Linked DNA regions of Notamacropus eugenii. The protein of the gene in region 2 purifies or fractionates together with the protein of the main gene of each other region. This does not show direct contact. Links are inferred from orthologs where the notes say so. Each region holds a gene or a part of one and is shown on either strand. Other genes may lie near its edges.

Region 1 (12,693 bases), about 150 Mb from region 2:
TGATTGTTAAACATTACAAAATAAAAAAAAAGAAGAAGAAAAAAAATATTCTATAGACTATTGAAGGAGTAGATAAGATCACTACTTTTTGTAATTTAATAAAAGTATTAGGAAGCAGGCAGCAAGCTGGTGACATAGAGCATCAAGCCTGGAGTTAGGATGACATTTCCTGAGATCAAATCTGACCTCAGACACTTACCAGCTGTGTAACCTTGGGCAAGTCACTTCGCCCTATCAGCCTCAGTTTCCTCATCTGTAAAATGAGCTGGAGAAGGAAATGGCAAACCACTCCAGTATGTTTGCCAACAAAACCCCAAATAAGATCACAAAGAGTCAGACACAACTAAACAGCAACGATAACAACTAGGATGTTGTTATTAGTAAGTCAAAGTTTACTAACAGTATCTCCCCTTAATACATTTCCAGTAGAAGACAGGATGATGTACTTCATCCATTTCTCACATAATTTTGATTTCTTTGGTTAGTGCTTTATAGTTCCCATGTAGCTTGGACATTATGAGTATCTGGTATGGCCACATCTACTAAAAACATTGTTCTTATATTTTTATTGATTAGTGTCATGTTTGTTTGCTGTTGTCTCTTGTTGTTGATATTTCCAATGTACAACCTCTGCTTTAAAGTTGTCTCCTTATAACTCCTACTCAGTCCATAAAGTTGATTGTAAGCCTGGGTTGCATGACTGGCACAAATCAATTGCTTCAATTCAACATTTATGAATAGCCTACCATGTGCAGAGCTCTATGTGAGCCATTAAGACATACAAAGTTTAGATAAGACTCAGCCTCTGCCCTGATGGATCTTAGGGTCTAGTAAAGGGATAAGACATAACCACAAGTAACTACAAAACATGATATTTTGAGATAAGTACTGACTTCCATGGTCCTCCAGGCATAGAACCTCATTGAATATTTGCTGGCAAAGACAGGAATATCTAGGCTAAGTACCTGAGACTCACACCCTGACATGATGTGTGATATGACCAGAACTGGATATTAGGAAGATTAGTCTTCCAAGTGATGGCAGGATGCCATTGAAAACTAGCTTCGCAGTCTCCTTTGCTTTCTGTTCTAACATAGGACCGCCCTTAGGACAATATTTGAAACAAAGGAGAGACTCATAAACATCCAGTTTTCCAAGAGGAATCCTCATGAGTGAAGTCAGCGTCACTGCTGCAGAGAGGGAAGCAAAGGGAATGCCGAAATCCAAGAGCAATTTTCCTGGCAATGGTCAAGATTAATCATGTGCTGACACTTCTAGGATATTCCCTGAGTCTGTTCATTCCTTTCTGATCATTCATTCCTTTGGGATGTCCCCTTGAGAGAAAAGTTATGTAGGAAAGAAAGCCCTAGGAATTAGTTCTGGGCCATTTTCCACCAGTACTTATTTGCCTGTAGCTTCTGAAGATGCATGCCTGAAGCACGACTAAAATAAAAATCTGCCTGATAGTGTTTGTGCTGAGGATTATAAGGGCCAGACTAATCTTCCTAACACCTGGTTCTGGTCATCACATCATGTCATTCCAGTCACTGCTCAAAGACCTTTGATGGCTCCCTGGGACCTAAAGAATCAAGTCCGAACTCAGTTTGTCATTTAAAGTCCTCCACGATCTCATTTCTTCTACCTCCAGACCTTGAGGCAAGTCATGTTACTGCTCTGAGACTCAGTTTCCTCACCTGTAAAATTGAGGGGGTTGAACTAGATCAAAGATCATATATTTAGGGCTGGAGAAGACCCTAGAGGTCATCTAGTCCTATCAATCCTCTCATTTTAGGTAATAGGCATTTATATTGCACCTACTACATGCCAGGCACTGCCCTAAGCACTTATTTTTACAAATATTATGTCAAATATTTTATAAATATTATTTGATTTTACAGAGGAAGAAACGGAGGTCCCACAAAGCTAAATTCCTGGCCCCAAGTCACACAGATAGTAAGTGGATTAAACCCAGGTCTTTTAACTTCAGAGCCAATTCTTTTCCCCCTACACCATGAGCTCACTAACCTGTGACTTCCAATCTACCTTGCCAGTCTTGTCACATGACTCCCTCTACAGATCCTATTTTCTGGGCAAACTCAGCTGCTTGCTATCCCCTCTATATGCCCATTTTCTCCTGATTCTGCCTTTGCTTGTGTTGTTCCCTAGGTCTTCTCTCCTTATCATCCCTCTCCACCACTGTTCATCTAATTGTGACTCATGCTTTAAAACCAGTGGTATGATAGTAAATGCTTACCAACCAGTTCTTCCCCTCAAAAAAATTGTGTGCAGGACATACTTTTAAGTGTAAATGTTTTTTCCAACACTTTTTAAGTTTAGATAATCAACAAAACAATAAATCAAGCCCGGATTGATAGTGCTTTCTAATTTTCAAGGTATAAAATGCTCATACTAAAAATTTAACAATCAGCTCTTGCTGGTGTATTCAAACCGGCTCCAGCATGACCCTGTTTAAAGCTTACTTGAAGTGCCTCCTTAATTATTAGAATTATGAAGATTTAGAACTAGAAGAGACTTCAAGATCAACTAATTCAACTTCATCATGCACAGGTGAAGAAATTGAGGCTAAGTGACTTACCTTGAAGCATTTGGGTAATAATTAACAGGTTTAGAGAAGGAGGGAGCAGCCAGGTGGTGAAGTGGATAGAGAGCTGGGGGCCTGAAATTAGGAAGATTCCTCTTCCTGAGTTCAAATCTGGCCTCAGATACTTAATAGTAATGTGACCCTGGGCAAGTCACTTCACCCTGCTTGCCCCAGTTTCCTCATCTGTCAAATGAACTGAAGAAAGAAATGGCAAACCCCTCCAGTATCTTTGCCAAGAAAACCCCCAATGGGGTCATGAAGAGTCAGACAATGAAAAATACCTGCAGAAAGGAAGTTTCACATTCATGCTGGCACTTTTTGTCTTAGCAAAGAATTAGTTGGGGAATGACTAAACAAATTGCGGTATGGGATATACTACAAAAAATATTAGACTGTACAGTGTTCTGCACACAATCTGCACCTAATGAACGTCTTTCATATTGAATTGGATTCAACAGGGAATAGTAATGGACTTGGAAAGATGGTAGGGGAGATCAAGTAGTAGCCTATATTCATGCAACTTCCTTCAATCAACAAATATTTAATTATTTCCATGTGCAAGACTGTGTATTATGTGCTGTGAACTGCCCAATGTCAGGGTTGGAAAGAACCTCAGCAGTAAGTTCATTAAACTCCTGTCTGAACAAGAGATGTCTGCAATGTCTCAGGTAAGCAATCACATAGTTCCTGTTCTCACGAAATGTTCATTCTAGAATGTATGAGATTGAAGTCCCAGTAAAAATCACCTGGGAGAAAGAAACCTGGAAATAAACACTTTCTGAATCAAAGAAACAGTTCAGAAAATACTGCTCTGTGTCCAGTTATCCTTCTTATCACCAGTATGGATGACTAGAATACCTCAGAAGAGGTAATACTAAGGAATAATTAGATTTTCCAGTCAGCCTCTTGTCAAACCCCCTTCAAACAATCCCGAACAAATTTCAAAAAGTCTGGTGGCTTACCAGCACTTTGAAGTGACTTTATCTGAAACCGTTGGCACTAGGAGTTATGATGGTGACATCCCACATGGGCCCACAGATGTTCCCCAATAGTAAATGGAGGCAATAAACTTTAGAAAGCCTCTTTGCCATCCGTCTAGCCTTAAAAAGGGCTACATGCTACTGAATACTGGCGACAAAATCAGTGCACTTTGTCCTGGTATGGTGCAACCATAACAGAGAACTTTTGTTGCCATAATCACCATCAGTGCTGTTACTCACAAGGACTGACACTAAAACTTCCTGAATGTCAAGCAGTGAAACTCTGGAATTGTCTATAGTCACTTAACATCTCCTGGTCACTGTTTCCCCATTCATAAAATGCACAAGTTTAGTCTTTATAATCTCTAAGCTCTAAAACTATGAGCTTATAACTTAACCAGTGGCAGCTGAGTGGCACAGTGGATAAAGTGCTAGGCCTGGAGTCAGGACTACTCATCTTCCTGTGTTCAAAGTCAGACACTTACTAGCTGTGTGTTATTGGGCAAATGACTTAACCTTGTTTGCCCCGGTTTCCTCCTCTGTCAACTGAGCTGAGAAGGAGATGACAAACTGCTCCAGGATCTTTGCTAAGAAAACCCCAAATGGTGTCACAGAGTTAGATATGACTGAAAAAGAACTGAACTGAAAATGATCTGACTATAAATCAAAAATAATTAAATTTACCAAAACTGATGTAGTACCCTTATATGAAAGTCTATCTAGCAGAGTGGACTTGGAATCAGAAGACCCAGAAAATGAAGATAACATTTCCAAGAGGTAAAATTGTATAAAGGATAGAGAGTTGATATCAAAGTTAAGAAAACCTGAGTTCAAATTTTACTGCTGATAGCTAATGGCTACTGATTAAGTAGCCCCCAGACAAATCTTTAAGACTGAAAGTGGAAGAGAAGATATAAATCTGCATTGGCAACAGAAATTCCTCAACAGGAACTCCCTATAGCAATGAAATCCGAGATCTGGCCAAAGAAATAAGAAGGTTGTTGTTGAGGAAAGGTCTACCTTGTTAGGTCCTCGAGTGCTATAAAAATGCTAGCTATCATTATTATTCTTTATTGAGTCACTGGAGATAGAAAGAAAAAGGAAGATCTGACCTTCAAGGGAGACTGTCCTAAGGGGACACAGATGAGCTTAATAGAAAGTATGATGTGATAGAGGAAAAAAAGAGCGATAATAAGATCTTAGATCTGGAAGAGGCCTGAGTAATTCCTCTGGTCCACCATCCTTATTCTATAGATGAGAGAACTGAGATCTATTGAGGTTCAGGAACTAGCCCAGGATCACACAAGCAGTAAGTGACTGAACCGCCATTTGAACTCAGATTCTTGAACTCCAAGTTCATCATCATGCTCTAGAGTGGGTGAGGAGTCTGAGCGGGGTGAATCAAAAAAGGCTGAGTGCTTCCTTCAACTTTCACCTCCAGTCTCCCCTTCATCCATAAGCTTTTTGAAGTTTCCCCACACTCCTTGTGCCTTCCCTCTGAGAAGACCTCTCATTTACCCTGTCTATATCTTATATGGGACATCTTCCTGAGTTCAAATCTAGCCTCAGACACTTACTACCTGTGTGGCCCTGAGCAAGTCACTTCACTCAGTTGGCCTCATCTGTCATCTATATTTCCTCATCTGTCAAATGAGCTGGAGAAGGAAATGTCAAATTACTCCAATGTCTTTGCCAAGAAAACCCCAAATAGGATCGCAGAGTTTGAAATGACTCGACAACAGCAAAAATATTTTATATGTACGTAGTTGTGTGTATATTCTAATTCTAAACTCTTTGAGAATAGGGATTGTGTTTCCCTTTCTTTGTTTAGTCAGAATGATGCCTAGCAAGACAGTAGGACTTAACATATACATCTTGTGGTTGTTTCTCATGGAGTAGGAAATTCCCAGGTTGAGACTTAATAGATCAGAAAGATTTCAACAGGGAGAGGAGAGAAGGCCCTATACCTATCTCAATACTTCAATGATGCTGTGATCTCTTTGAGGTGAGGGCTCCTTCCAGTGGTGCAAACTGAAACCCATCCACACCTTGTCCTCCTCTCTAACTCTAATCATGTGTTCACATAAATTCATCCAATAATCCAGGGCTCTTCCTCACCCTCTTTCCTTTTCCCCTACCTTTCTCTTCTTGACATTGTGTGGATACCGGGCTAGCTGTGTGCCGTCCCTCACTGGCTACACAACTCTAGACTGATATATTGCTTTGTTTGAGCATTTTGTAATACCTGGCAACCTCTGGCACCATTTGTCTCTCCGTTGCCTTTTGGGTAACCCATAATTTTGATTTCTTGGCAATTTTGGTTACTGTGTGAGTTTCAGAACATTGCTATTGGAATTGTGCTTCAGGGAGAAGTTGGAGATCTTAAAAGCACACAATTTCCCAAATTCAATACCAGCTCCTCTCCCCACTCCTTAGCAAACCCACTGCTTATTGAACTGAATTCAGTCCAATCAGCTCTCGTTTTCCTATTCAGATACAGGCTAGGTTCATTGTCCATTCACACTGTCTGTCCAAGATATAAGTACTAATAGAGCAGCTTGACGGGCTCTCTATCCAACCACACATTATAGTCTGGTCAACCGACATTCTACGTTACACGTAGTAGGCACTTAACAAAAACTTGCTGAATTGTTCATGGAATCGAGCTCATTCCAGGACAAAACCAGAATAAAATCAGGGAATATAGCTAGTAATCCTTTCAAAGATTTCGAAACTCACATTTTTAAAGTACCTACTAAAACTGAAGCTGAGACATCAGCCAAAGTAGAAAATGAAACCAACAGTAAAGAAAAGGCAAGTCTCCCATTAGGAAAAAGACGCTTAATGTATACATCAACCTAGGAAGTCAAAAAACTTCAGTGCAACGTAGTAATTATTTTATTAAGTGCTTACATTGTGCTAGACCCTGGGGAATACAAAGACAAAAACAAAAGCAGCTCCTGCCTTCAAGGAGCTTACTTTCTCCCAACAGCCGCGAGTCTCTTTTGCCATTCCCCTTCCCCCAGAATCTCTTCCCTTTCGCCCTCCTTGGGCTACTAAGAGGTTAAGAAAGTAAAAAGAGGTGGGCTGCATTCCTTCCTCTTCCTTAAGAATAAAGAGGGAAACCTCCGCTACGCAACAACACCCCAGCCAGGGAGGAGTCTGGCTTGGCTTCAGGGTTCTTGGAACGTATGTTCTTGGCACAACCCAAATCTTAACTAGATCCTAGCTCCCAGACAGTCCCACCTTCTTCCAGCAGAAGCAGCTAGGAAGAGGAGTCTTGGAGAAAACAATTCCCAGATCAGGATAATACCAGGGTGCATGTTACAATTGGTTCTGAGCCAAATGGCCCAGCCCACCGACTGTTGGATGCTTTTGTTTCCACCACCATCCACACAAGGAGAGAGCGAGGACACGCCCCTACCTCCCCCCACGTCCTTGTCTCCCCCACTATTTCCACACAGCCAGTATTCTAAAAGTAACTCAAGTGGGAAATGCACTGTTCTTGCACAGGGATGCCCTGAAACCTTCCATGGGGAAGCACATTCTTGCCTGAAGAGAACACAGGCGCGCACACAACTAGCGGAGGGAGGGGGCTGGAAAAAGTTAGAACCTGGGTCCTAGAGGTGGGAGGGAGAGCAGAAAAGGGAGGGAGGGTGAAAGGGGTGGGGCAAGAGGAGGCACTGTGCAATCAAAGCCTACTCCAGTCTCCCCTGCCCAGCCCCACGTTCCTCCCTCTCCCCCACCCACCCCAAGAAACTCCAAGGCTTATAGTGCTTGCTGCAGTCTTCTCGTTTCGTTCTCGCTGAGCTACTGCTTCTTGCTTAGGCAAGGTGAGTTCCTCTCTCTGCGTCTCTATCTCTCTGTGGTTATTTTGACCGCTTTGTCGTTTCCTCCCACTAAGGCACAGATGTGGGGAGGCACGAGCTAATTCAGCCACCTCAGGGAGCAGCCGCAGAGCCGGCTGCGCTACTCCAGGACCCCCAGGGCTAGACGAGCGCCCACTCGCTGCCCCTCCAGTCTGGAATTTCCAACTGCCTGGAACAAGGCTGCTCAGGACCAGCCCCGAGAGCCCGCCTTCCCTGATCGGGCTGCATTTCCCAGCGAGGTCAGAGGTTGAGGGTGTCCCGACCAGGAGGCGCCCGAAGCCACTTGCGGGTAGCTGTTCTCTGGGGAACCGCTGTTCCAGAATGACTGGGACCACACCCAGGGGCGCGCTACGGCGCGCCCCTTCCCGAGTCAGGGCTAAGTGGGTGCCTAGGCAGGGCAGGAGGTGAGACGCAGGAAGGGAGGGTGTCTGGGCACCTGGGACACCTGGGAGTTGGCATGCTGAGAATATGCCTAGAAGGATCCGGGCTGGAGTAGTGCCCCAAAACCTTTGGAGGAACAAAAGCGACTGACGGACGTTAAGTTGCCTTCCTTTTCCTCTCTAACAGCACCCTGCTCCCCGCCTCCATCTCCCATTCTCTCTCTGCTTTTTCTTGTCCTGCTGTCTATTTCCATTCTCCAATCACTCAGCCCCTTACCCTGCTGATCCTCTGGACGCTGGAAGCCATCTTTCTGGCAGTCAGCCTTCAGGCAGAGGTGGCCCAACTCTGGCCAGATGTTCCTCCATTATTTATTCCCAACAAAGTGCCAAGTGAGGCTGCCTTAGGAAATCCTCCCTGGGATAGACAGGCGTGAGCTTTGTCTGACAGTTCGGTCAGGGAAGCTTGGACATTTAGCCGAATTTAACGTGAGGCCATTCCCTGGGGTGCTACAACGCTGCTAGCTGGGTCGCTGCCTGGCTCCCCGCTCTTGATTTACACTCACGAGGCGTTTTCTCTTTCCTAGCTATTTTGGGCTGGGTTTCCTGTTGTTTGTGTGCTTGACTAGAAGGTGGCTGGCTGATCGTTACCCAGAGAGGAGAAGGGGAGACTGGGAGACGAGCAGAGGGATCTAGAGGAGGGCAGATAAAAAGAGATGGGGCAGGAATCAAAAACAATCTTAGAACCACCAGAGTTGTTTGTAAGGTAAGAGGAAACTACAATACAACTAAAGCATTTCCTCTCCCCAGGGGAAAAAAAAAATAAACTTTCCATTTCACCCTGACAAAGTTATAAAGTTAAATGTGAGAGGAGGGCAAAGAAGAAAAAAACCCAAATTCCTAAATCTCAAGTTAATTTTGCCCAATGGGAAAGAGATAAATAGACCCTGATACACAATTCTGTTGAGTCATATGTATAGCATTAAGTATGGTAACCTAAAGGAATGGAGAGGTGGTAATTCCAGACCTTATTACTGTACTATCTAAATTTTAATTCTGCAGCTAGGGGAATTCACAGCCATACTTTGGGGATATTGGAAGTAGAAGGACCAATTGGCCTGTTTGGGGTTGTTAGAAAATAACTGGAAGAAAGAAGTGGGAAGGGGCTAGATTCAAAATGCTTTGGAATGGGTGGTATCTATCACCTCACTAGTCACTCTAGGCCTAATGGCTTCCAGTGGCATATGTGAAGCACACTTTGTTCCTGGATTCACCTAGTGGTGGAAAGAAGGCAGAGTGATTCAGCAGCCAAGATGGTGTGGGTGTGGCCCTGATTCCCCACAAATTTCTCTGTTAGGGCAGAACTGTCCCTAAAGGAAAAGGGAAATTGCAATTTTAGAGGGCTTTCCCCAAAAGGAAGTCAATCAATGCCATACCTGAACCGTGATTTGAAAGAGGATCAGTTTGCTTCAATGCAGGGGCTCTGTAGTTGAGGACAGTTATAAAACTGATAGAGATCATGGCAAGGCTTCTAGATTATCATTCATTCATTCGTCATCTACTTAGTGAATGGTTACTGTATCTAGAAGGGGGAGAATACAGTTCCTGCCCTCACTTTTAACTAAAGTAGGGTTTGGTAAACAATTTTGCATCATGGACCCCTTTGGCAGTCACATGAAGTTTTTGAACATTCTTTTTAGAATAATGTTTTTAAATACATGGAATTACAAAGGAAACAATGCTATTGTAATACAGTTATTCAGTATTTTTTAAACATGCTCATGAACCCCAGGTCTAGTGGGAGACATAGGTACAAAAATAAATATCAAGTCCGCAGCAGCAAGATATGATGGAAATATCATTGATTTCGTGTTTCATTCCAAGCCCTGCCCTGTGTCCTTTTAGACAAATCATTCAACTTCTCTGGAAAGCAGTTGTTGAATCAGATGATCCATAAGGTCCTTTCTAACACTATGATCAAGAATCCTATTAAAAAGTAGCATGTGATTAGTATGTTACAGAGAAAGGGTTCAAAGGAGGGAGACATGACTTCTGATCTAGGAGAATAGGGGAAAGAAGACTTCCTGAACAGAGGAACTGGAGTTTAGCCTTGAAACATATCTAGGATCTTAGCAGGTAATGATGGGAGAGCATTTCAAGAGCAGAGGGCACATGTGTGTGAAAATACAAGATAAGTTCAGGGAACCAGAGGAGGCTAGCTTTGCAACTGCTTGTCGGAGAGATACACTGGCAGGTATTTTTTTCTGTTTGGAAAAGAGGTCAGTGGTTGGGTTTTTTTTTTCCCTCCAGTTTGAATTTCGATCTTTTAAGTGTTAGACTTCATATCCTGGGCTTGGGGTGAGGCCATACCCATGGAAACACTGTCTGGCAGTCATAACCTGATCTTTGCCTCCAACGTGTTTCAGCAAATTGCGAAAGATACTATGGTGGGTGGGGGAGAGGAATGAGTTCATAATTCATTTCAGATTTCTTCCTCAGCCCCACCCCTGCTGATTGCTATCCAGTTTTCATCCTCTTGTAAGAAAAAAATACTTCCCATTTGCAAGAGGTCAGTTTCTCACTGCATAAGTATCCAGTGTATAGAAGTTTGGGGGGAAAGTCTGAAATTAACCCTGATAGCCGGCTGGAGTGGACTCACATATAGTTGGACAAGAGAAATCTTATTAGGTGATACTTTTTGCAGGATGTTTCAATTAATAAGGCAACCTCTAGCCAATTCTCTGGTATGGTATCTCTGACCCTAAATTGGGTGGGGCTGAGATTGGGTGTGCCTTTGCTCAGCTCAAAAAAAAAAAGCCACTTTATAAGAGTTTGGCCACTTTGAGTAAACTTGGATCCTGAGTGAACAGTCCCATTGTTTCCATTCTATTCTGCATATGTTAGCATTTTGAGCTCAGTGAAATGCCAGGGTATTCAATGATGTATACCATAGTCCATCACCACCCCTCTAACAAAGGTTTTCCAGTACTTAACATCCCTCTGCTAAGCAGCTCCCACCTGCCAACCTTCAGATGAATTGAATATCAGGGAGTGGTACAAGTCAGAATGCAGATACATAACAAATCTTTGGAGAAATATATATGCTGATGAATAACTGATATTTTTGATTTAGTTCAAAATTAATTCCTCTTATTGAAATTTCAACTTCAGTATTTCTTCCAGTGTGCTTCCTCTGCTGCTGAAAGTTTTGACAGCCTGATTTGTGCAGCAGGGCAGGAGTTAGATTGTACTCAGACTCATTCAATCAATCCAATTTTTCTGAACCCCTAATAGGCCTCCCTGTAAAAGACCAAACTCCAGAGTTCCTTCTAGTTTCAGCTCTGGAACCATTACTTTATGACTTCCCAATGACAAAAGCAATAAAACCTCAACCACGTTAAACGGCTTTGTTTTTGCTGAAATGCTGCCAACCTCAGGCTGGGCTGGGTGGGCTGCAGTAAAAGAGGGACAGATGAAATGTGTGAGATGAAAAATGGTGATGTGCTTATGATTCCTATTTAAAATTAGATCCTGAACGAGAGCCCAAAGTTGGGTTTTGGGGTTTTTTGTTTTGTTTTCTTTTGTTGTATCTTGGTTTTGAGCTGGGGCATTGACTCTTCAGAAGTACCTTCCAAAAGAAGCCAACAGTCTCTTTTAATTCCCACTGTTTCCAAGAAGTAGATGTCCATTCATTTCATTTGAAGCAAAAGGATTCATTAAATGTAGTTCTGATAACCTGAAAAGAAAAACACTCAGGACTGTACCCTTCAGTCTAAGAGAGGCAGGGCTGGCTACAAGAAATGGTATCCAAGGATCTGGGTTAGTATCCTGGCTTTTAACTGTGTGACCTTGGTCAAGTCATTTCCCTTTCCCATGGCCTCACTTTCCTCACCATTAAGAAGAGAATGTTGGACAAGACCTCCAAGACCTCTTCCAACTCCAAATCTATGGCAAACAGTACAGAGCATACTGGCCACAACAACTGAGGAATATTAAACAGATGCAGAATGGACAGTAAACATACAAAGGTTCCAATTAGTGCAAACAATAAATCCTCTGAAATGTTCTCAGCTATTGAAATTCTCAGTATTTAAAGTAATGTATGTAAATATGTAAAATATGATCTTTGGTTCCAGACCAATGGAAATATACCCCACTTCCTGGGGTAAGGTATGATTCTTCACACTTATAGGGACCTAACTCTATAGACTAGAGGATTTGATCTTGTATAGATTCCTACGAAGATAAAAAAATTCTAAAGGAGAAAGAAGTGTGAGAAATTTTAGAGAGAGTAGAAAAACAAGATTAAAAGGAGGAAAAAGCAATTTCAAGGGTCTAATCAGACCTGTTTTGCAGGATTCATATTTTCCTTCATTTCTGGAATGTGTTTTCTCTGCCTGCCATCCTGGGGCCCTTCCTTTCTCAGCTCCTCCCTTCTGTTACATCTGGTTCAGACAGTTATGGTACTTTAAGCTCCATCTAGTGGTCTTCCTTGTTTCTCAATCTTGACTAAGGGGCTTAATAGAAATGCTCCCCTCCTACTGGGTTCCATAGTAACAGTTTGAGAGTTCCTTTTAGATTTGGAGCCAAAAGCTTGGGGTTCATATCCTAGCCCTTCTGCTGTATTGCTGGATCTCCCTTGGGGCCTCAATTTCCTCCTCCAGAAAATAAGGAAACGAGTTGATGAGCCCAGGCTGGCATAGTGGAAAGAGGACTGGATTAAGAATCAGCTTCACCATGAATCTTGGTTTAGCTGTTAACTTATGAGTGTAATGTTGGACAAGTCACATTCTGAGGCCTCAGTGTCCTAATTTGTAAAATGGAGGTGGAATGAGTAACTTCTGAGCTTCCTTCAAATTCTATAC
Region 2 (12,523 bases):
GAGCACCAACGAGTGGCTATAATAGTCATATAATCATAAATCTAGAAGATTGTGGGATTTAGTGTCCTTTTCTCAGACAGATGATGGACAGCAAATACCCAGTACAGAGTCTGATGTATGATCACTGGAGTTATATAATTATACAATATAATCTCCACAAACTTCCTCCATAGGTCCATCATGTACTCAGAACCTGATAACCAAGAATTACCACTCATTTAAATCTCTTTGAATCATAGCATTATAGATTCAGAAATAGAAAGATTCTTAGAGATATCTTATTCCAAACTTTTTTGTTTTAAAGATAAGAAAATTAAGGTACAAAATGTTAATCAATTTGCTCCACAGTAGAGTGATGGACAGAGGCCCTAGCAAAACCCAGCTTCTGTAACTCCAAATCCAGTGTTTTTTCAATTATGTCATGCTGTCCCTCCATGTCATCCTGTCTTATCAGTCCAACTTCTCCACCTCAGCATAGAGATCACTAATAAAACCCTTTAAAACATTTTTTAATACTGTCAATGATCAAAATTTAGCTCTAGGCATCAAATTTTATGAAGGCCATCTTGATATCATAGCTAAGCAGCCTCACTCTTTCACTCTTTTAGACACAGAGAAAGAATCCTCTCAAAAAAAACCAAATTAATACCATTATTTCTGCAACTTAATTAGCCAGTGTAAAAATAAAAATGTCTAAATGAATACTGTTTACCAAAAAAACATAAAAAAAGGAAAAAAAGTAACTGTTTTGAAAAACATTGTTTAGGGTTTGAGAATACAAGCAGAGAATACTGGTTTCTTACAATCCTACAGTTTTATGTAGACTTTTAATTCTTGTGATTTCCTTTTTCTCTTGTGCTCCAAGTTACTATAATTGTTGTTGCTGTACAATAATTAGTTGTTCAGTGGTAGAATCCCTGCCTTCTTTCTGGGTTCGGTTCCTGGCATTATCAGCATAATTGTTATCACCATCCTACCCCAATCAATGCCAATGTGGAATCTATAGTTTCATAATTTGCAGGCTTAATTTTCTCTACCACCCCACTATTCACAACATTAGCCTGTACTGGGCCCTGGGTAGACCACATTGTCTTTAATTAGAACCACCATGACTTAAAAAAGGACATTAATAAATTGGTGACTTTCCAGAGCAGCAACCAGGATGATTATATGAAAGACCAACAAGGGAGGAGAAATTGAATTTATTTGGCTTGTTCCCAGCAAAAAAAACCAAGAGCGGTGACCAGAAAATGCAAAATAGCCAATTGAGGCTCAGTGGATGAAAGTTTGCTACCAAGCAAGTTAACACAAAAGTGGAATGGGTCTCCTCTCCTTGGAAAAGGAAAAGCTGTATGACTGTTTGTCAAGTATACTGTTTGGAAGTAGGATTCCTTTCAGGTATCAGTTGAACCAGATGGCTACAGATTCTGCAGAAACATTCAGTTTTTCACAGCTTTCCCACTAATTCACTGGACAATCATGCTCGGTAGGACATGCTAGTGTATTATATTGCAAAAAACAGGTTTGTCTGTGGTGAACAATTCAGAATAAAGGTTATATTTTTAACAGAAAGCTAAAAAATATATAATTTATAATTTCATTCATCTAGCAGGCTTCTTATATCTGTAGAACTATATATATATATATATATATATATATATATTTCTAAAAATATGATTTTTTTGCTTCGACCTAATATTTCGTCAAGATTTGAAACACCTTAACATGGAAACTTCTCTCCCTGGTGGAAATCTACAACTTCTCTGTAACTTATGGTCTTAGAGATTTTCTGAGGCATTAAGTGACTTGCCCAAAATCACACAGCCATATGTCACAGGCAAGACATAATGAACCTAGACCTTCCTGATTCCTGGCCCTCTCTCCGCTGCATAATACTACCTTTCTAAAATGCCTAAAAAGAAAGATACCCACCAAATCTGTGGATATCATCTTGTCCATGACTGCGTTGTCACCCTTTGAGTTCACTGCCTTGACACAGCGTTCACTCAGAACTTCCTAGTAGTACAAGACACCAGTCACCAAGTTACATTGTCATACAGTGCCAACCTACAACCTCCTAACTCAAGGTTTCACTCATTCCCTAAGAGGCATTTCGTGAAGTCTTATCAGAGATCTATTATGGTGTGGAGGTGTTGCTATCTTTATCCGTAGAAAGAGCATCTCACAGGAAACCACGCATCTTCTGAAGCAGGGAAATACTCCTACATATGTGTACACAGAAAGTGACTTCAGTTAACCACATACACTTAACAGAGATACCAAATTTCTAAAGATGTGGTACTCAGTTTATGAGGGTTTATTCTTCACAAATCTCTGATCTACTTAGAAGAAGAATATCAAAAAGTCCTGTTTTTTGCTGTGTCACTAAAGTCTAAAATGCAATACAAGAAGCCCTTGCACTGCTGGGAGGAATGAGTAAGAGGAAGAGGGGCCTTTAAGGACTTTATTTGGGGTCAAAATTTCCTTTCCATACCATTAGTTCTTTTTAACTAGTTCTTTGTAAGTTTCAGTAATTCAATGTGTCATGAAAACATTCTGGAGAATATTTTCGTATGACACAAAGCTTCTAGTTTTTATTTTCTAAAGCTATGGAAAAAAAAAAAGGAGTTGGCTAGTGTAAGACATGTCTAAGGAAAATGAACCACAAACTAATTCTAGGTCTTCCTCTTTTCTACTTGCAAACTATTTTTAAATGGATATAATCTTAAGCTATTCCATTTACTCCCTGCCTTTAAAGTGTTCTAATTTTGAAAGTACCACACTCTGTAGATAAGCAGGGCTAACAGGACTTACTGTTGGCTAGGAATAAGAACCACTTATTTCTATTACTAAACATTGTCAGAGATTCAGGAATCTGCTTCACAATTTTTCTCCAACACCCTAAACCAAGAATTCTTGTCAAAAACTTTTAAATTACTTAAATTGTTCAGAAGGAGCTCTATTTTCTCCAATTAAAAAAGTGCTTCCTCTACAGGAAGTTTGTAAACTGCTTTCTGCATATACAGATTAAACATTTACTTCTCTATACATTTCACAAGAATTGCTTCAGTTACCATTTAACTCTTACAATGCTCCATTAAAGGGGAGGATTCCAATCTCTTACCTAAAATGAACTGGAGAAACAGGCTTGCTTATGGCTATATGGGCTACTTAAAATGTGAAACCTTCTAAGAAGTGTTGTTATTTTTCATTTCCAGTTTTCCTAATAACATTCCCTCTTAATCTTGTTTGAACTGCTTTACATGGAGCAGTGAGATATTTTAGCTGCTGAAGTCTGAGCATTTTTACTATCTCTTAGACACTCATTTTTTTTTAGATAGAAAGCATCTTCCAGAACAAATGAATGGTGCAATGCTGATCCCAGCATGCTCTGCCAGCTTTAGTTGATACATCATTTTTTGTCATCCACCAATAGCAGGTGCAAATTTCTTTTTCTGTGTTTTATGATAAGGTTATTTTTAAGTAAAATTAAAATATAATTCTAGGTTGTGGTAAAGTTAGATTACATCATGTAGAATCATAGATCATTCATGTTAGATGTTAATCTAATATGACCATGTCATTCTACGAATGAGGAAACTGAGGCTTACACTCATTAAATAGTTTTGCAAATGTCACAAAAAAAAAATTAATGGCAGAACCAGGATGAGACCTTAACTAGTCAGACCCCCAATCCTGTGTCTTTCCTATTATCATCCAACTTATTTTGAAATCCAAAGAATGTATTTTATCTTTATCCAGTCCCAAGCTACTTTTTTTTAAAAAAAATCTCTACCTATATTTAGAATACATATGGAGCAAGATAACATATGCACAGAAAATCACCTAATCCAACAAACTAACACAAATAAGAAAAGAATTTTACATTTTCTTTTAAGAAATAAAATAATTTTGATTGTGAAAGGCAACTAACAAACTGCAAACAATATTAAATTAAATTAAAACAGCCACAAAACAAAATCTATATTTTTCTCTTTCCTTTTCATGGCTTCTGCCTATTCCATTCTAAAACAACTTTTTCTACTTTCCCTCCTTAAATCTCCTTACCCCAAAATAGAATTCCTAAATCATTTTCCACTCTCAAATTACAAAATTGTTGTTATTCATCTTCCTTCAAACATCTCTATCTGTGCTGTAGTTACTGCAAGTCAGATTACAATTATTGTTTTGACCATCTATATTATTACTAATAGGTGATATTCCATCATAAACAAATATTGCCAAAATCATTTTAAGTCTAGGGGCACAGTGAAATAATGGATGGAGAGAAGAATTTGAAGTCATGATGACCTGGATTCAGATCCTGCCTCTGACAGGTACTGGCTATGTGACTCAGGATAAGTCACTTTACCCTTTTGGTGCTCTAGACAATTCTCATACTATAAATTGCAGAGAATCTTCATTGGTAGAGAGTTACATCACCTGAAAGTTCACAGTACCAATGACATCACTGGTCCAGATCCTACATTAATCTTTGCTTTCTTTCATGTTGCAACATCTGGAATTTCCAGAGAAAGGAAGAAAGAGAGAAAGAAAGACAAAAAGAAAGAGGGAAAGAAAGAGAGAAAGGAAGGAAGGAAGGAGGGAGGGAAGTAGGGAAGGAAGGAAGAAAGAAAGGAGAAAAGAAGGGAGGGAAAAAGGAAGAAGGGGGGAAGAAGGGAAGGAAGGAAGAAGGGAGGGAGAGAAGGGAGGAAGCAAAGAAGGGAGGGAGGAAGAAAGGGAAGGAAGAAAGGAAGGGGAGGAACAAAGGGAGAAAGGGGGAGGGAAGGAGGAGGAAAGGAAGAAATTAGAAGAAAACAAGGAAAAGAGAAGAAAAACTCAGAGAGAATCAAATAAGAGAATATAATCCATCTCTTCCTAGGAGTCTTTGAGTTGTCAAGTAGTCACAGTGCTAAAGTTTAAGGAACAGCAATCATTGGGCTACACAATCACGTGGAAGTGGTACAGCACTACCTTAACTGCTCTTTAAAAGCTTCTTTCAAGGTTCCAAGCTAGGTAAAGCACCTTTTCTGATTATTTTCTTTTTCATAGACCTCGTAAAACAAGTACACATTTGCTAAAAAGAAACAGGCGTTCTCAAGGCTCTGCTTCCCCTTTCAAAAGTCAAGTCACATGCAGACTGAAAAACTTGTGCCTTTTTTTGCCTCCTTCCACGGTTTTCTATCCTGACAAATTTAACAAACTAGCAACGAATGGAATTTTTTTCTTAAAAAAAAAAAAAGGAAGAGTAAGTATGTTGCTTACAGTTCTTGAATGTATACTAGAATCTTCAGATCGGTCTATCCCTTTAGCTTTCTGCAAGGCTTCTTTTTCAGTGCCTGGGTATGGACAAGTTTTAAAAAAATCATCTAAGTGGGAGGGGCTAGGTTGTGGGCTGGTCTAGCTGGTTGGGCAGATGTTTTAAGGTGGAATTGAAGAAGGGGAAAAGTTAGCAGGGAATTAGAAAAGCAGTCTAGAAATGTGAAGCCTGTGAACCCAGAAAAGTTGTCGAAGCAATGCAAAAAAAAAAAAACCCACAAGAATATAAAATATACGTAAACAAATTCTTTTTACCATTGAGTTCCTTGAAGTAACCCCTGTTTCCTCTGTTTTTATAACTATATATAGCAAGGCAGCTTGATAGCTAAGTAATGAATTATAATTTTGACTTTTAAAGAACATCTGAATTGAGTGCCAAGTAGCTGTCATTTGAATTTAAAAAGCAAACTGCAATCAATTCATATAGAGTATTTAAACTGGTCCAAAGTCCCTAAGTAGTTCAGAGCATCCAAGCTGACTCCAGAAAACTTGGGCCCCTATACTGAAGAATGTCCACTGTTGAATTAAAGTCTGACTGCCACACATTGATGACGTGGGATCCATAAACATTATGCTTTCTATTCGTCGTATTCAAACACATATCTTCCATTTGGTACTTTAATCAGTGGCAATATGCATTTGTGTTTTCTTCTTTACTCTTTGCAAAGAAAATTCCTTGTTAACCCCAATGCCACAGGGCTTCTAGATTCAATTCCTGGATTATTATCTTGTTCTTGATTGGTTTCTCAACCTGATTAAAGGCTGAATTTGAGGGTTCATTACAAATCTATTTAACAGATCTCTCAAAAGATGAATCACATCTTCAATTTCATAAGGTCTTGGTCTGAAGACTGACCAGCATGCCTTGAAAGGTGAAATGTTTTATTACGTATAAGTGGCAAAGAAAATGGGAGTAGAGGTCTCATACTTAACGTTACTTTTATTTTGCTCTAATTATCTTTCCTCCCTCAGGCAGAAGTGAAGAAAGAAAGACTATTTCAATATATAATTTAACTAGAACAAGTATCAAATGCTTCAGTCTGGGGGAGACACAAAGTTGAGTACTGGATATGGAGCTGGGTCTAGACTCTAATTCTGACACTTCATAGTCCTTTGATTTTGGGCAAGTCCCTATACCTTTCTGAGCCTCATGTTTCTTCATCAGCAGAATAGGGCACTAGAATAGAGATTTCATTGGCATGGTGCAAGTAGGTACCCACACAGTCAAGTAGGCAGTATGTATCAGACATAACTTGAACACAGTTCTTCCTTGTTTCTAGATTAACTTTTTAGTCACTCCTATCACATTACCTTTCCATATCTACAATGTAAAATAGGTTTCATGATACCTATTGTTTGGTCATTTCAGTCCTGTCTGACTCTTTGTGACCTCATTTGGGGTTTTCTTGGCAAAGATACTGCTTTGTTGTTTCCTTCTCCAGGTCATTTTACAGATGAGGAAATCGAGACAAATATAGTAGAGTAACTAGCCCAGAGTCACACAGCTAGTAAGTATCTGAGGCCACACTTGAACTCAGGTCTTCCAGACGTTAGACCCAGTGCTATATCTACTACACCACTTCGCTACCCTTCGGGGTACTTATGTAGTCCTTTAAGCTCTGGACGTATTTTCTCAACACCAGATCTCCTTGTATTGAAGAGCTGGGTCACCAGAACTCAACTGCATCACCACTCTATTCAAGGATTCTAGGGGTAACCTCAAGAGGTTCTAATGGTATCATCTGACCCCTATTCTAATTTATTCCGCCAATACCACTGCTAGTGATTAGCAGCCCAATATCACTTAACAGCTTCTCAATCTCATCAATAAATAATTGAAATCAACTAGTTCTTAAAACAGTATAATTACTGAGAAAATTTATCATGAACCAAAGGAAAATACCTTCCCTTTAACTGAGACATAGTCTTCCCTCTACCACCTCAGTCCCTGTGGAGAATGAGCTCAACTTTAAGGTGCTGCCACCAGACTTTGCCCTATCAATGTCCATTCTGGGTGCCATGTGGCTTATGAACAAGTTACTCTGGAGTGGTTGGTCCCTTGACTGCCTGGGGTAAATGACTTCTGGGATGGATCCCTCAGGTTACTCCTTGGGGCTACACTTCTCGCTGGGCTTAGCTAGCCAAACTATGGGACAAAATCAAGTTCCTAGACATCTAGAGGCTCTTTCAAAGCACAGAGTTGCAGCCTAGTCTGGAAGTGTCAAGAATCTGGCCAGTGAGCTGCATAACACTCTGGAGCACTGTCCAAACAAAAAATAAATATTTAACCAAATAGTAAACAATTCATTTAAATTTTATTTATTAAATAATAATAATAATAGTAATGAGAGAGTAAATAATTTAAACTTTATTTTTCAATAATAAATAAAACAGCAAATATTTACAAAATAAATTAAAATATAACAAAACATTGTGTGGTTTGTCCTTTGTTCTCAAAGAAGACCATGACATCAGGAAGATGATGACATGACTTGCAATTGAATTGGATTTGAGTATTACATGTTAAATCTAAGTAAATATGCAACCCACAGGGATCTTATGTATGGATTGGTGGACCTTGTTTCTAGATGAGTTTAAAACCATTGGTCTGGTCCATTCCAACCCCTACACTCATTCACCTAAGAGGAAGAAAGGCTAAAACATGACAGGGACAGAAAATTAACAAATGTTCAAGGCCACCCAGAAGCCCAGATTCGTAGATAAGGGTCTGAGGCCTCTGTTGCTATCTGGGGGCTCGAAGCAAGTTTTTCCCTTGATTACTATCAAGGAAAAGGGAAGTTGATTTGACTAATTACTGTCCTTTCTATGAATATTCACTTCCAGCCCAGCAGCCAATCAAAAGATCTTTCTTCACCACTCAGTAAACAAACAGGAAACAATTGCAGAATTTCTGCAAATTCTCTGTAGAGGAGTGCTGGGGCCCTCCACCTCATCACACGCTTTCAGAAGTTGACTCAGCCAAACTACCATGTGAATTGACAGCAGGAGAAATCTGTTGGACAGGCTCCCAGAAATGGGCCCCCAGGAGCCAGTCCCCTATTACACTTATAATACCTCTTCATAACATTCTTATAAGGGGCAGCAAGGTCGCACAGTGGATAGAGTACCAGTTCTGGAATCAGGAGGACCAGAGTTCAAATTTGACCTCAGATATTTGACACTTACTGTGTGACCCTGGATATGTAACTTAACCTCAACTGCCTTGACAGAAAAACAAAAAACCAACCTGTTATAATAAGAGTATTTCACAAACCTTAAAGAAGTATAAAAGTGTGATTATCGCTGCATTACTACTGTTATATAATTCAATGTCTGTCTATCTTTAAGAAGTTTGTGATCTACTCAGGAAGAGAAGACATAGAGATATGAAACACAGTAAACAATATGATACAGGATGTGATTAAAGGGAAAAGTGAGTGGTACACATAGTGTTGGCTGTGGGAGATGGGCAGCAGTGATCATTCCACATGTCCTGAAATAGTGAGCTCAGGCCACTAGCTTCCAATGTGTTAGAGACTAAACTTAGCTGAAGAATAATACTTCCCACTTTTATGGGACTTCAGAGTTTGTAAAGCCATTGATCCTCACAGCAACCCTATTGGTCGGTGCTAGTATTTTTCCCATTTTGCAGATAGGCAAATGTAGGCTCATTAACTACCGTCCACTAACACATGAGCAGAGATCACTGGACCTGTGGTGGCAGGACAAAGAATGGGTAAATTTTGATGAGTGGAGAAATGAAAAAGATCAAAATCTTGGAATGATTTAGAGAAGACTGATTTGCATGATACAGCACAACAGAGGATAGGTAGGGGTAGAATTAGGATTAATTTCAGAGACATCAAATTAGGGAAGAGCATACAAACATAGAGGATGCTGAAGATGAATTTTAACAAGTTCAAATTTTGCCAGAGCAGGCCATTGATACAGTCATTAAAGTTCTAATTCCACAGCAAACCATAAGAAGAATTATGGAACAAGCCAAGTACTGATTCATTTAACTTCAAAAGCTTTAAATTCAACTAACATGACAAAACATGGTAAATGTTGGAGATGTGGGAGAGTTGAAACACTAATTCATTGTTGGTGGAGCTGAGAGCTGATCCAACCATCCTGGAGAGCAATTTGGAACTATGCCCAAAGGGCTACAAAAATGTGCATACCCTTTGACCCAGCAATATCAATTCTAGGGCTGTATTTCAAAGAGATCATAAAAATTGGAAAAGGTCCCACATGCACAAAAATATTTATAGTAGCTCTTTTTGTGATGACCAGGAACTGGACATCAAGGGAATGCCCATCAATTGGGGAATGGCAGAAAAAGCTGTGGTATATGCATGTAATGGAACACTATTGTGCTATGAGAAATGATGAGCAGGAGGACTTCAGAAAAATCTGAAAAGACTTATATGAACTGATACTGAGTGAAATGAGCAGAACCAGGAGAACGTTATACACAGTAATAGCCACAGGGTGTGAGAGTTGTTTCTGATAGACAGCCCTTCACAGCAATGCAAGGACCTAAAACATTCCCAAAGGACTCTTGATTCAAAATGTCATCCACATCCAGAAAGAGAACTATGGGGTCAGAATGCAGAATGAAGCCAACTATTTTCTCATGTGTTATGTTTTGGCTTGGTTTGAACTTTCTCATGACTTCTCCCATTTGTTTTAATTCTTCTACGCATCATGATTAAAGTGAAAATGTGTTTAATAAGAATGTATGTGTAGAATCCATATACGATTGCATGCCATCTCAGGTGCGGGGGTGAAAATTTAAAACTTATGGAAGAGATTGTTGAAAACTGAAAAAAAAAATTAATTAATTTTTTAAAAAGCTTTAAATTCAGTGTGCTAGGGAGTGGATAAAATGCTGCTGGTTTTCTTCATGTTAATAATATTCACTTTCTCCCTGGATATCTTACTCCAACGTTAATTACATCATAACACAGAAATAACCCTGAGTATCTTTTAAATCCATTTTATATTAATAACGTACATTTACATTACCTTCATTTCTGAATACGTCCCTCTCCTCTCTCCTGCTCACCCATCCGTTCTTCATAACAAAGATTAAAGAAGAAAGAGAAAAGAAAAAAATTCTGCAAAAATAGCCAACACATCAAACATATCTTAGATTTTATGTAATATTCCAAACCCCATAGTCTTCAAAGAAGGGAAAGAGATGCATTTTTTTAAACTCTTCTTGGGAGCCAAGGTTTGAATAGAAATTATTGGAGGCTATACCAGCAAAACACAAACCCTGTTGGGTACTGCCTGGCTGAAAGTCTTTGAGCGTGAGACTAGTGGTAGACTTGTCTCCTGGTCAGCAGCAAGCATTTATTAAGCACCAACTAGGGCAGCTGGGTTGGTACAGTGGTTAGAGTACCAGACCTGAAGTCAGGAAGACTCATATCCATATCCATAAATCATACTCCGATACTTAGTAGCTGTGACTCTGTGAAAATCACATAACCCGGTTTGTCTCAGTTTCCTAATCTATAAAATTATCTGGAGAAGGATATGGCAAACAATTCCATTATTATCATTCCAAGAAAACCCCAAATGAGGTCATGAAGAGTCAGACACAAAATATGTCAGGCACTATGGCAAATGCTGGGGAATACAAAAAAAGGCAAAAAAAATTCTGCCTGCCCTAAAAGGAGCTTACATTCTAAAGAAGGAGGAAACATGTAAATAACCAGGGAGATTCAAATTTGTTACATGCAGAGTAGATGAAAGTAACTTCTATGGGGAAAGCATTAGCAGTCTAAGAAACCAGAAAAGGTCTTCTACATAAAGGTTTTGAATGAGGTATTGAAGTAAGACAGGGGAGACTTAAGGGTGTTGCTGAGGAGACAGGGTATTCCAGGCCTGGGACAATGCAATGCAAGGGCACAGAGAGAGGAGATGAAGCATCCTGCTGGAGAAAATGCAGGTAGACTGGTGTGCCTGAACCATAGAGAACATGGAAAGATTCATTAGGTATGAAAAGATTGTAAAGGTAGGAAGAAGACAAGTGAGGAAAAAGTGTTCAGTGACAAGCAGAGGATTTCGTAGTTGAACTTACTGGTCATAGAGAATCACTGGAGATCAGGGAGCAGAGGTATCATATGCTCAGACTTACACTTTATAAAAGTCTCCCAGGTAGCTAAGCTGATAATGGATTGGAATAGTTGAGACTCAGCCAAGAGTATTAATAATAAAGCTTTTACAGCAGTACAGCAAAGAGGGTGTAGCTATATACATGCAGAGAAGGAGAAGTCTAGGTGAAATAGTATGACAGTTTTGAACAGAAGCTCTTAAGAGCAGAACTGGAGATGAACTGAAGAGGAGTGGAGAATTTATGTTGCTAAAAGGAGGACCCAATTGAGATCAAATAATATCTATCTGTTGTGGACCCAGTCAACATGATTTTGTTATTTTTCTCCAGCTTTATTCAACAGCACAGGAGTAAAAGCAAAGGAAGCACATGATGGAAGTAATCCAGAATTTGGGCTTAGCAATGAATGATCTGTGATAGGACAAAGGAGCAGAGGACATGAAGGTGGAGGACACTATGGACTGAGTTTGTTAGCCAAGAGGTGGGGATAAGGAAGAAAGAAGATAGCTAATGCAAAGGTAATGACCTTCTAAATAACTCTGAGGTAGACAGAATGGAAGGCATGATGAGGATGAGGAACAAGTTAAAAGGCCCTAAGGCACAAGAAAAAAATGCTATCAGATTATGATCAAACAAGGGAATTGTATAGTTAATGAATAAGATGGAACATGTGACAAGTGGATGAAGGATGGGATTTTCTGTGTACAAAGCTGAGGAAGAATGGAGAAAAAGTCACAGAATTGAGTAGTTTGAGGAATTGAGAAATAAGATGTTTGATAGTGTATCAATATGTATGTTATAGTCCTTTAGTATGAGGGCAGGTGATAGAAGGATGGAAAGACTGTGAGTCAAGTACTGAACTCTCTAAGGAAAATGAATGATCTACTGGGGAATCTATAAATAATAGTCACAGAGATCTGGATTGGTTGTAGATTTATATTTGTGTTCGTCCTTCGTTGCTGAAGCAGACTATGCCATCGGAGAAATGATGACATGAGTTGCACTTGACTTTGTTTTGAGTGAGGGAGGGCTGTGCAGGTTACCGGCCTCACTTCTTCTCCACAGCCATCTGAATCCAGT

Evidence for each region.
Region 1: the proteins of PLA2G4A (region 2) and S100A10 purify together in Homo sapiens (affinity purification with western blotting; 3 studies listed by BioGRID). This does not show direct contact. The link is inferred for Notamacropus eugenii from reciprocal best matches to the Homo sapiens genes PLA2G4A and S100A10.

Annotation. Positions count from the first base shown.
Region 1 is NC_092873.1:305,908,415-305,921,107, reverse strand, and holds the start of S100A10 (protein S100-A10), read left to right. Parts: upstream 1-7,280; 5' UTR 7,281-7,415; intron 7,416-8,108; exon of another isoform or gene 8,109-9,508; intron 9,509-12,693. UniProt on the Homo sapiens protein: Because S100A10 induces the dimerization of ANXA2/p36, it may function as a regulator of protein phosphorylation in that the ANXA2 monomer is the preferred target (in vitro) of tyrosine-specific kinase.
Region 2 is NC_092873.1:458,073,955-458,086,477, forward strand, and holds the start of PLA2G4A (cytosolic phospholipase A2), read right to left. Parts: upstream 5,372-12,523; 5' UTR 5,266-5,371; intron 1-5,265. UniProt on the Homo sapiens protein: Has primarily calcium-dependent phospholipase and lysophospholipase activities, with a major role in membrane lipid remodeling and biosynthesis of lipid mediators of the inflammatory response.